3 linked regions of the Cricetulus griseus genome follow. The protein of the gene in region 3 interacts with the protein of the main gene of each other region in a pairwise test. Links are inferred from orthologs where the notes say so. Each region holds a gene or a part of one and is shown on either strand. Other genes may lie near its edges.

Evidence for each region.
Region 1: the proteins of Septin1 (region 3) and Aurkb interact in binary tests that used the Homo sapiens proteins (3 or more experiments, as listed by UniProt). The link is inferred for Cricetulus griseus from reciprocal best matches to the Homo sapiens genes SEPTIN1 and AURKB.
Region 2: the proteins of Septin1 (region 3) and Amot interact in binary tests that used the Homo sapiens proteins (3 or more experiments, as listed by UniProt). The two-hybrid records come from large-scale screens. The link is inferred for Cricetulus griseus from reciprocal best matches to the Homo sapiens genes SEPTIN1 and AMOT.

Annotation. Positions count from the first base shown.
Region 1 is NC_048600.1:82,925,177-82,928,938, reverse strand, and holds the end of Aurkb (aurora kinase B), read right to left. Parts: coding exon 3,632-3,762; intron 1,737-3,631; coding exon 1,562-1,736; intron 1,160-1,561; coding exon 998-1,159; 3' UTR 502-997; downstream 1-501. UniProt on the Homo sapiens protein: Serine/threonine-protein kinase component of the chromosomal passenger complex (CPC), a complex that acts as a key regulator of mitosis.
Region 2 is NC_048604.1:35,432,134-35,436,440, reverse strand, and holds the start of Amot (angiomotin), read right to left. Parts: upstream 2,803-4,307; 5' UTR 2,369-2,802; intron 1-2,368.
Region 3 is NC_048596.1:73,555,292-73,559,435, reverse strand, and holds the start of Septin1 (septin-1), read right to left. Parts: upstream 2,801-4,144; 5' UTR 2,448-2,800; coding exon 2,445-2,447; intron 2,272-2,444; coding exon 2,181-2,271; intron 2,081-2,180; coding exon 1,994-2,080; intron 1,731-1,993; coding exon 1,607-1,730; intron 1,041-1,606; coding exon 906-1,040; intron 811-905; coding exon 693-810; intron 159-692; coding exon 57-158; intron 1-56. Other genes in the region: phosphatidylinositide phosphatase SAC2-like, read right to left, coding at 3,266-3,362. UniProt on the Homo sapiens protein: Filament-forming cytoskeletal GTPase. May play a role in cytokinesis.

The sequences.
Region 1 (3,762 bases), on a different chromosome or scaffold from region 3:
AATTTATTAGAATATAATAAAGAAATAGACTTAATTGTGGCATTTTCAAACATGTATACCATTACACTTTTTTAAATTCATGTGCATGTGTACAGCCACAAAAAGGTCAGATCCCATGGTTGTGAATTTGCCTAACCTGAGTTCTTTGGAACCAAATCTGAGTTCTTAAGTGCTGAGTCCAGCCCCATAATGCTTTGTTCTATTCACCCCACTCCTCCCTAGCTTCCTCTGTCCCCTTATGCAAAACTTTCAAATTTAAGTTGGACACAGCAGCCCAACAGGAGGAAGAGAGTCCCATGAGCAGGCAAAGGTTTTACTTGCATCACTGTGTGTCCTGGAACGTGATTTGTAGTCCAAGATGTCCCAGACTTATGGTGATTCTCCTGACTCAGCCCCCTGAGTGCATGGACCAACATGCCAAGCTAACTTGGGGTTTTTGGCTTCATAATGTTACCAAAGTATAACCACTACTTTTTACTCTCAAAACAGTATTCAAAAACATGAAATATTTAAGACTTTATTATAAAATATACTTTGTGCTACATAATTTTTCTGAATTTTAAGATAGGCTAGACTAAACATGTTTCACGGATTAATGCATTTTTGACTTACGGTATTTTAAAACATTTGGCAAATTGAAAGAAATCAGACTCTATGGCTCCTTAAAATTCTGACTGTGTATATGTGTGCCACATCCATGCCTAGTGCTACGGATGGTTGTAAGCACCATGTGGTATACTGTGAACTGAACTCCTGGTTCTCTGGAAAAACAGCCCTGCTCAGCCATCTCTCCAGTACTGTGTTTTTTTTGTTGTTGTTTTATATATGTTTTGTCTGCACATATGTGCACCACATGTGTGCATGGTTTTGCCTGTGGAGGTCAGAAGACAGGTCAGATTCCTTAGAACGGGATTTGGGGATGGTTGTGAGCAACCCTCCCTCCCCCCAACACATACACAAATATACAAACAACAGAGACAAAAATGAAGAAAGCAGTCTAAAGGGCAGAGGGAGACAGTACCCTCCTAGAGTGGGCCCGCACCCAAGGGTGAGCTGCGACCTGGGCCAGGGGCAGCCGATCTGAGGGTTTATGCTTGAGCAGCTTGGAGATGAGGTCCTGGGCCCCCTCAGGTACAGAAGGAGGGAACTTCAGGTCCACCTGCAGAGGAAGAAAAGAGAAAGGTTTCACCTGTGTTACCCTGACTACATTTTCCTTGACAACTCAAGAGATTTTTGCAACCCCCAAAGGAGGCATTATTAACAATGGATGGCTGCTGAGGGAAAGAAAGGAAGTCATTTTCCTTTGGGAGTGTGGGTACAGGTAGGTTGCTGGCAGCACTAGCTGGTCTCAGGGGGCTATAAAAAGAAAAAGGACATGACGGTGGGTGGGGCATGTGTTGGGAAAGGAGTCGGGGTGGGTGATCAAGGTGCATTTGTATGAAGTTGTCAGAGAATAAGTACTGCTCATGAAATAGGGAGACTGTGCAGAGCCCTATAAATCTACCCTGCCCACCCCAGACCCTGGCTTCCACAGCACACAGAGCCCAGGCAGGTATCCTACCTTGACAATCCGACGGTATGTCTCACTGTGGCTAGGGCTCTCAAAGGGTGGGTTCCCCACCATCAGTTCATAGCAGAGCACCCCGATGCACCACAGGTCTACCATTTCGTTATGCATGCGCCCCTCAATCATCTCTGGGGGCAGATAGTCCAGGGTGCCACACATGGTCTTCCTCCTGATGGGATGAGAAGTGGGTAGGGCCTCGAAAAAATCAGCCTCTCTTTTCTCTTTACTTGATAGTAGGCAGCTCAGAGATCCCAGGAAGGTCTGGCCACACTAATGGATTATCTTAATTTTTTGTTTTTTTGAGACAGAGTTTCTTTGTGTATAGCTTTGGAGACTGTCCTGGAGACTGTCCTGGAACTAACTCTGTAGATCAGGCTGGCCTCAAACTCAGAGATCTGCCTGCCTCTGCCTCCCAAGTGCTGGGACTAAAGGTGTGCATCACCACCGCCCAGCTATCTTAATCTCAATAAGTAAAAAATAAATAAAAACAATCAGAGATGAGGGCAATGCTCATTTCAAAGAAGAAACAGAAAACATCTCTAATATCCACCGAATATACACTACTTAAATAAGTCGGTTTATATTTTTACTGTGCAATACCAAGAAGTGTTAAACAATGATCAGGTCACCAGATACTGTGATATACACCTCTAATCCCAATCCTTGGCAAGATTTTTGTTTTGTTAATATTGATACAGGTTCTCTCTATAATACAGCCTTGGCTGGCCTGGAACTCACTAAGTAGACCAGACTGGACTTAACCTCAGAGAGATCCACCTTCCATTGCCTCACTAGGGCTGGACTGAAAGGAATAAGCCACTACCTCTGGCTTAATTGGACATTTGAGGTAAATTGTCAGTCTGAGGCCAGGTAGGCCTACAGGGTAAAATCTTGTCTAAAAACTGTAAAGAGAGCCGGGCGTTGGTGGTGCATGCCTTTAATCCCAGCACTTGGGAGGCAGAGGCAGGCGGATCTCTGTGAGTTCGAGGCCAGCGTGGTCTCCAGCTTGAGTGCCAGGATAGGCTCCAAAGCTACACAGAGAAACCCTGTCTCAAAAAACCAAAAAAAAAAAAGCCCAAACAAACAAACAAACAAAACTGTGAAGAGGAGGTCTGGAGAGATTTGTCGGTGGTTAAGAGCACTGATTGCAGGACCAAGGTTCAATTCCCAGCACCCACATGGCAGCTTACAATTATCTGTAACTCCAAGATCTGACACCCTCACACAGACATGCATGCAGACAAAACACCAATGCACATAAATTATTAAAAAGAAGAGGCCAAGCAATAGTAAGCACACCTTTAATCCCAGCACTCAGGAAGAAGCAGAGGCGGGTGGATCTCTTTGAGTTTGAGGCCGCCAGCCTGGTCTACAAAGTGAGTTCCAGTATAGCCAGGGCTACTCAGAGAAACGCTGTCTCAAAAAAAACCAAACAGTTAAAAAACTGGGAAGCGGTTCTGAGGGATGTGGCTCAGTGAAAGAGCATTTTCCTAACATAGGCAATGCCCTGGGTTCCATCCTCAACACTAAAACCAAACCAAATCAAATAAAATGTGACCTTGGTAACCAGGCATGTCAGCGTATGCCTGTGATACCAGATACTCATTTGCACCTGGGCCTTTAAAAACAGCCCGGGGAACTCGGTGAGGCCGTATCTCCTTAGAATGAACAGGGTCGGCAGGGGTAAACTTGACATGGTGATGCTTGCCTGTAACTCAGCTATGTTTGGAGGGTGATCAGAAATTTAAGGTTATCTTTGGCTATATAGTGAGTTTGAAGTCATTCTGTGCTACATAGGACCCTGTTTCAATCAATCAATCAATCAATCAATCAATCAATCAATCAATCATGTGGGAGTTTCCACAATGATATGGTAAGAGAGGGCCCACTATATTTCATAGAAAGAGTAGAAAATTTAGAGCATGAATTATTGTGTTACCTATTTTTGTAAAGACTTTGCTACATCTATATTGCATGGAGACAAACCCCATCTCAAGGAACAACTTGCAGAAGAGCTGTATATCACAGCCTCACACGAGGGACAGCCCCCGAGCCCCACCATACCTCAGGGAGGGAGCATGCACAGACCAGCCAAAGTCCGCAATCTTCAGTTCGCCCTGGAGACCTAACAGCAGGTTCTCAGGTTTTATGTCCCTGTGAATCACCTTCTTCTTGTGGCAGTACATCAGTGCATC
Region 2 (4,307 bases), on a different chromosome or scaffold from region 3:
GGGTTTAAGCTGGGCTTAATGGGTGCAAAGGACAATTTCTACCAGACAGTCCTGAAGAATAGACCGTTCTCATGCATTCCAAAAGCTCAGTCTCCATGGAGGAGGCTACCTGGCCACAAGCATTTCCCAAGAGGGAATATATCCTCTACTCCTCCTCACTGGGAACCCTCCCTCCGTCCCAAACACAACAGACTGAAAACCATCCTGAGAACTTGGTGTTGGGCTGGGCTTTTCTGGGATAAAGGAAAAGAAATGTTAAGAGGGGAGCAGGAGGGTGTGAGAAACTCTTCGTCTCCAAATGGAAAATAAGCCTAAAAAACTGGATCAAAAGAAGGAGGGAGTTGGGGGGAAGGGCTGCTTAATTACAAAGACACCCTTTTAAAGAAGGCACAGGCCCTGGGAGAGAGCTCTTAGGAGAGGCCCAGAAGCAGATGTACCCACTTAGAATGCTGGCTCTCAATGGGACGTCAAAGTCAAAGTATCCATCCCTCTGTCTTCCTATTAGCATTCCAGAGTCTGCTTCATTCTATACAAATATAGGATGGAGGAAAATCAACCTTAGAAAATGCCTCCGTTATTCATTAGTCTAATAAATCTTACTTTATCGATGAAAAAATAATTACACTTTAAGGTCCAAATCTCAATGTCAAATGTGAATTGCTAAAATCTCTTTCTAAACTATTTTTCCTCCAGTAAAGGCATTTAGGAAGTCCATGTAAAACTTACTGTACATACAGGTGGAGTTACGGGTTAACTTTGCACCTAGGCTGTGAATTAGAAGAAAAAAAAACTTTCAATTTTACAGAGACACAAACTTTTCCAAAGAAAGAAGTAACTTAAAATGAAGTATGATGTAGAGCCAGAAATTGCCTGTAAATGACACCAGGCAAACCCATACAGAATAGTTGGAACCTGAGTTATCATCTGTAAATAGATGTAACTACTCTACAACCACCTGGCTATTAAAATGTCCTAGGCCAGCCTTTCCCTCCCAGCTGATCTGAAACATGATAGCCTTTAAAATTGTCACCATGTAACTTTGTAACATCCCTTCTCTACCTTCTTAACTTTTCAGCCCCCACCCTCACCCCAGTTAAAATCAACTAAAGAAAATTCGTTTAATATATGTGAGTGATTTCTCCCCTAAAGAATAAGCAATAGATTGGGAAGATCTCAGTATCAAGTCTTTCAACACAACCAGTCTCATAAGCTTGTGGCACTTGCCCAACCTAAGAGAGGTAGGTGATAGGTGGACAATTTACCCCCTGTCCAAAATGGCATTTCTGACTATTCTTAGCTACTGAATGAGGGTACTGAAAGGTCTGAGGAGGCTTCACAAAAGCTGGCCTGAAGAAGAACGTTTCCCATGGTCAAACCCAAGACTTCACAGCCTTAGCCCTTCACCACTAAAGATTACGTGTTTAATTCTTTCTACGTAGGAGGAAAAGTTTATATTCATAGTTTTAAACTGTCTGACATCTACTCTTCATGGAGGCAAGAGATAATAACAGAAAGGGCTTTCTCAAATCTGTCCCGTTCACCTTTCATTAATTTCTATTCAATCTGTTGCTGCAAATTATTAGCACATTATTTATTAGCGGCAATCATCAGGGATCGCTCGCAGTCTATAAAAGCTGCCGTTTTCCCTCTTTCTTTCCCTTCTCCTCATTTTCACCTATCTATGAGGATAGTCTTGCTGTTGATGAACTAAAGAAGCCAAGGCTCGGACCCTAAAACAAACACTTGCGTGATCTTGCAAAACTACTTATTAAGATCTTCGGCTCTTATGAAGCAAATAACGGCAGTCTCTGCCTCCTGAACCTCACCTCCACCACCATCACACACAGCTATACATGCGTGCATAAATCTAGTAGCTGTGTGGTGCATTACTTCCACATTTTAAAACTTGAAGAATTCATGGCCCTGGGGTCAGGGAGGGTGAGCTCCCAACCCAAGCCTAAGCACTTAGATGAAAGCCGTCTCGCTATCTGAGATAAGGGCAAACCTTCAGGCAGGACTAAAGCTAGACAGACCTAAAAGTCCCTAACTTAGTTAAGGTCTTTAGTTCCTTAAGTGATAAATTCAGTGGGGGACCTGCAAGAACTCAGGGAGGAAATAAAGGAACACCAGGAGTGGTACCTTTCAGCATCTCCTCCTTGAAAGTAGGAGAGGAGTCCATACTTTTAAACTGTTTGAAACTTCTTGCATATCTTAAAAAACCCAAGGCCAACAGCAAAGAATGTAGAACATACAGGCAATCCCCACAGGCACATATAACAACCTACTCACAAATAAGGGCATGATCAAGTTCTCAACACCACAGACTATTGCCCCAGTTCCCCGCAAAAAGTAACGACGTTTCTCCTACCCCCGAAGGCAATGAAGACAAGGTGACGACTCTCTCCGCTGGCTCAAGTGGCTTCGGTCCCGGGCCAGAGGCCAGGGATGGGTAGGGAGGAAGCCGCAGGTCCCGGCTACTCCCCACCTCGCTGCTCCCTTGGGTCTCTCCTTGGTGGCAGTGGACAGGCAGGCAGGATACCGGGCCGGAGGGTGGAGCAGCGGATAGTGGGAGGCGAGATCGGCTGGAGGTGGTGGTGGTGGGGGAAGGCGATGAGAACTAAGAGAAGAGAGGAAAGAGAACGGAGATGGAGGAGTAACTCAGGGGTCTACCAGCGAACGCAGCCCGAAAGCTCCTCGGAAGGAAGGGGCGTGACTGCGATGAAGGCAGCTCCTGAGCGAAGGATGGGAGGTAGAAGAGGGGGAGGAACGGGTGCCTTTTCTTCTGGCGGTGAGCAGCTAGGACCGCCCAGAAGGAGGGGGGTGGAAGATGGAATGGGCAGGGCCGAGGGCGGGGCCAGCAGGGCGGGAGGCGGGAGGGAGGCCAGCAGGACCCTGGCGGGCAAAGGGGAGGAGGCGGCGCCCCAGGAGGAGAGGCGGACTTTGGGCGGGGAACTTTTAAACAATTGATCGGCTAAGCTTGGGAATCAAGGAGAGAGCTGGGATAACTCGCTGGCCCTCCTCCTCCCACGCGCTGGACGGTAGTTCCGATAGTGCTTTGCAGGAATTAAAGCGAGAAAAAGAGAGGCACGAATGTTTTTTTTTGGGGGGGGGTGTTTTTATTTTCAAAGACTTTAATAATCTACGGCAACAGCGCAGCAGAGTAGCGTGGGAGAAGTCAGCACAGCTTCCGCCTCATCCCGGGAGGAAGAAAAAAATGTAGCAATGTAGAAAAAGCAGCATCAGCCAAAACCAGCTTCACAAAATTCAGGAAGGAGCCCCTCTCCTTCAAACCCCCCGCGGACCTTGTTTCCTTTGACCAACTGGCAGCCTACTCAGTGCAAAGTCAGCAAGATCCCTCTCTTCCACCACCCTATCCCCACCCCCAACCACCCCACCCCCAGCCTCAACCTTCTTACACCTTCCCCTGCCTCCTGCCCCAAATCTCGACCAGGGTCCTTGCCTCTTCCTAGAGGCAGGCCACTAGGGCACCAGGGGATGGGCGGGGCTTGGAGGAAGCTCCGCCTCTTGGAAAGGCTGGGAGTGCTTGCCTTGGCAGAGCGGGCCTTGAATAGGTTCCACCCAACATTCTTTTGCATCTATTCATTGGCCAGTTATGCCTGCTATTGACCTACGATTGGTCCTTTCAGTCGCCAGTCCGATACTTTGATCGCACCCGCCCTCAAAATTAATAAAACCAAACAAGAGACCATTGTCTAGCTCTCTGTGCTTCCCGAGCCTCTGCTTAGAATGGATAGATGAGACGGTTGACTTCTCAGTCTTGTGAAAGGGTGCGACAGTGTGTTTGCCAACTGGGATATAACTTTATATTTAAAGCACTGTACAACTCTCCGGGAATACGTAATTTTTCCCTCTCAATTCATTAAATCAGGAAAGAAAAAGTACATGGAGTGTCAGTGTGGTGCTCACATTTTCTGGCTGTGAAAAAAAATCATATTGCTCAAGTACATGGGGAATTGAGTACAGCATCGTGGAGGGGTTGGAACCTACAATTTAACATCTGGGTAAAAGAAAACACAAAGAAGCAGTAAAGTGGGAGCAGAAAAACAAGGAAGTAGAACTAAAGGAGGAATTCACTGTGGGCTCTGGCACACATTACCTAGCTGTGTGACTTTCAACGGACTTTAACATTTCTTATCTGTAAGAAAATGCTGTAAGGCATGTGCTGGGTTCTTAGTGGGACAGATGTTAAAATAAAATGAAATGTATGTGAAAACTCTCTGAACCACTCCACACTTACACGACACACATGCTGGAGCTATAACTCATCTGTTTCAAGCATTTCTATA
Region 3 (4,144 bases):
TTCACCTCCGCTTCCGCTCTGTGCTTCCCTGCCCCTTCCACGTCCACCTCTCAAACCTTCATCTCTTCATTCTGCTTCTTGAATTCTTCATCCTCATCAGAGTCACATTCTGGGAACTGGTATATGTTGATCTCCTCCTCCTTCAACTGGTCCCGGATCTCAGGGCGGAGAGAGGGAGAAACTGAGGTGTGACGAACCGACATGGCAAGGGCAGAGATAGTGAGGGACAGAGAGATACTGGGTAGTCAGAGAGGAAGAAAGGTGTGAACAACAGATGGTGAGAGGTGGCCACACAAGATGACCAAAACCAAATCATCTGAGACATAATGGGGAGGAATTCAGAAAGTCAGGACAGACATCAAAATATCCGGAGGTGGAACAGGAGAAAGCACTCTTAAAGACAGCGGGCAGGGAGTTATCACTATCACAGGACCAAGAAGTTGCCAGGAGTTGTGATGGCCACCCCTTTTTTCCTCAGACTGTCCCTAGCCAAGCATCTAGTTCCAAGGTTGTATAGTTTATTCTGTACAGAGCTGTTAGAGACATGGCTGCTTGTGACAGGCTCATACACCCCTATACTCCCCTCCCCTAGTCTAGCCTAATAGCTCCTGCTCTGAAAAGGCCACCCCAAGATAAAAAAAAGTCACAGCTTTTGTTTTCACTTAGTGCTAAAGGTCAGGTCTCACCCATACCTTCTGCTTGAGGACCTGAGTCTCCCTAGGCATCAGGGCATCTGCTTTGGCGATGACTGGGATAATGTTGACCTTTTCATGTACTGCCCGGAGGAAAGCCACATCCAGGGGCCGAAGCCTGCAGCAGGGATTTATCAGGCTCAGCTCCTGAGTGCAGAGGTTTATACTCCCCCACCCCGGTCACTTGCCCCCCCCCCAGGGTGCCCTCCAGACCCTCTGCCAAACGGTGAGATGAAGTAGAGGCAGCAGTGGACTCTGGAGTCCTGGATGTTCTTCCTGTTGAGGCCACTCTCATCCCTGAGGTATTGCTCAAATTGTTCCTCAATGAATCGGACCACAGGCAGCCAGCTGGCATGTGGGGAGAAGATGTATAGTCTAAGATCACAGGGCAGGGGACAGAATGAAGCTAGCCAGGCCTGTTGGGTGGAAAGTAATTTCTTTAATTCCAACCAAAGCCATCAGGGGCAACTGGTAAGGGCTTGGGATTAGACTTCCAGAAGCAAAGTGGCTCCACACTATAAGCCCAGCACTCAGGAAGCTGAGGCAGGAGGATTGCCACATTTGGGGCCAGCATGGCCTACACAATGAGTTCCAGGCCAGCCTGGGCTAATGTGACACCATCTGCAAAAGCTGGGGGTTGGAGTGGAGCACTGAACCAGTCATGGCATATGTCTGCAATCCTAGAAGAACTTCCAGTTTGAAGCCAGTTAGGGCTACATGGTGAATTTGAGGCCCCTGAGCTACAGAGAGAACCCTTTTCTCAGAGGAAGAAACACTGGACCCTTTGGGCCAAATTGTTTGCTTCTAGAAACAGGTGGCTTTAGGTCAAGGAGCCATGGCAAACTAGCTCACAAATGAACCCTGGTCTTCCATAGTGGAAGAGAAGCCTAGCTCTTATCTGTCCCCCGCCTCACCAGTCTGAGCAGTCCACAGAGTCCCCAAAGCCAGGGGTGTCCACCAAGGTCAGCTTCACCTTGATTCCCCCCTCCTCGATCTCCACAGCCCGGCGCTCAATGGTCAGAGTTTGTGTGGTGCGCGCTGTGGATACAGAGAAGCTGCTGCGAAGGCTCTGAGGGGGACCCCATTCCTAGCGACGCAGCTGCATCTCATCCCCCACCCCCACCCCCACCCCACATCCTCAGTGTGTATTTCACGGGAGGAAACAGTCTCAGAGAAAACCAGTGACCATCCAAGTCCCCAGACAGAAAGAAAGTATGTAGCCTCATCACACAGGAAGAGAGAAGACAGACCAGCAGCAAGGGTGGGGAGTCCGCAGGGGTGAAGGTGGGGGCAGATCTTACCACTGGCATCTGGCACCTGCCGATCTTCGTAGAGGTTGGTGAGGAACAAGCTGTTGATGAGGGTGGATTTCCCGAGGCCTGACTCCCCTGAGAACGGGTCAGGCCTACTAGTCAGATGAGAGGGCAGCCAGGATCCCCGGAGTACATCACTACCCCCCACCCCAGTCTCTCTCCAAAACACACGGACCTGCCACCATGAGTGTGAAGTCAAATCCCTTCTTGACAGACTTGCGGTGCAGCTGATTGGGGAGGGCAGCAAAACCCACATACTCTTTGTCCTGTGGGTGTAAATGTAGATAGCAAGAGGCTCCTGGACATGGCAAGGAGTGCCCGGTACCACCTGAGCCCCAAAGCTAGGAAGTCAGCTTACTATGGGTTGACTTTGATTTGGGGACCCTCAGGGGAGAGGACTGGGCCCCAGTTGCCTAGATTCCTGGGCCCAAGAACTCACCATGGCTCTGCTGGTCGTCTCTGCACCTGGTGTTGCTCCCCACTTCCTCTGGTGGGGCAGGAAGTTGAATGTATCAAGACTAGCGGGGTGGGGAAGGCAGGGGCTGGAGGGGCAGTTCAGGAAGCTGCGCGGCTCAAAGAGACGCTACATTCTCTTTCAATTCAAAGATTTTACTTTTAATTATTTGGGCATCGGGGATAGTTGCATATGAGAGGAGGCCAGAGTCACCGGCCTGGACCCGGGGGTCAGAGGTGGTTGTGAACTGCCTGGCATAGATAATGGGAAGTGAATTGAGGTTCTCCGTAAGAGCAGCGCATGCTCTCATTGATTGAGCTACCCCTACAGTCCCAATGCATCTTTTTTCTTATCTCCATGTATATAGATATAGATATGTGTGTGAAGAGATATAGACATATGTATATGTGCCTGCAGGCCAGAAGAGGGCGCCAGATCTCATGTGGTGTCTGGGAATAGAAATCAGGTCCTCTGGAAGAGCAGCCAGTGCTCTCAACCTCAGCCCTCATTTAAAAAAAAAAAAAAAAGTTTTTATAGCATGTATTGATCATGGGTTTCATTATTAGATTTCATGCTTGTACATGTCTTCCAGCCCTAACAAGGCACCCCTGTTCTGCCCTCTGTTCTGTCACAAATGTGACTTAATGAGGCCATGAGAACACTTCTTCAGTAGTAACTGCTTAGGCTTTTTGCACTGGTGTTACCTTCACAAGGCACAATATGAAAGCAGCCATACACATCACTAGCCTGAAGAAGAAAAGGGAAGTCCATCACCACAGGTGGCTTGGTGTATCCTTTTGTGTGAGTTAGTTAATGTGTTTGCGTTTACCTATTTCTATCTTTTCCAGGTCTTCTAGGCTTAGCGGTTGATACTGGTTTACTTTATCAACTTCATCATCATAACTAGGGAAAGGGAATAAAAAGAGAGTTAAAAGCAAATGTTTGTTTGGCTTTGACTCCAAAGCTGAGGTACTATATAACAAGCTACATATAATTAAAATAAAATCTTCCCAGCATGCATTCTAGCAGGTGGATCTGTGTGAGTTCCAGACAAGACAGCTGAAAAACTTAAAAGTTAGGAAAGAAATATAGCCCAGAAACTGACCAAGGCTACTACTATGACTTAGTGCCTGGAATTTACCAGCCACCAGCAATTACTCCCTTACAAGGCCATAAGATAACTGGGTACCAAGAATTCCCAGATGGCCAACCTCCCCGAGGGGCTCATGAAGGAAACGGATTGCCCCACTGGCCAATGTGTCAATCATTAACAATTAAGGGTCCCTATGAAACAAAGAGATAGCTACCATTAGTTAGCACATCCTGAGGTCTGCAGGTTTTACAACTGGTGGGTCAGGAAGCTATCTGATTCCCAGGCCTCCCCTCAAGACAAAGGGCTTCCTAGGAACCCATGACTCTGGTCACATATTCAACGGACAGAGAGTCGAGGCCCCTCCCTAAGCTTATGGTTTTTGCCTTTAAAAACGCCTGTGCCTGGGGGACGGGGCTGCTCTCTAGCCTGCATGCTGAGAGAGCCCGTTTGTACAAACGTCCACCTTTTATTAAAGCCTCTTGCTGTTTGCATCAAGTTTCGGCCTCCTCCTGATGATTGGTGTTATTCTTTTGTTTAAAAAGAAGAAAAGAGAAATATTGAGACAGACATATTGACTATAAGTTTATTATAA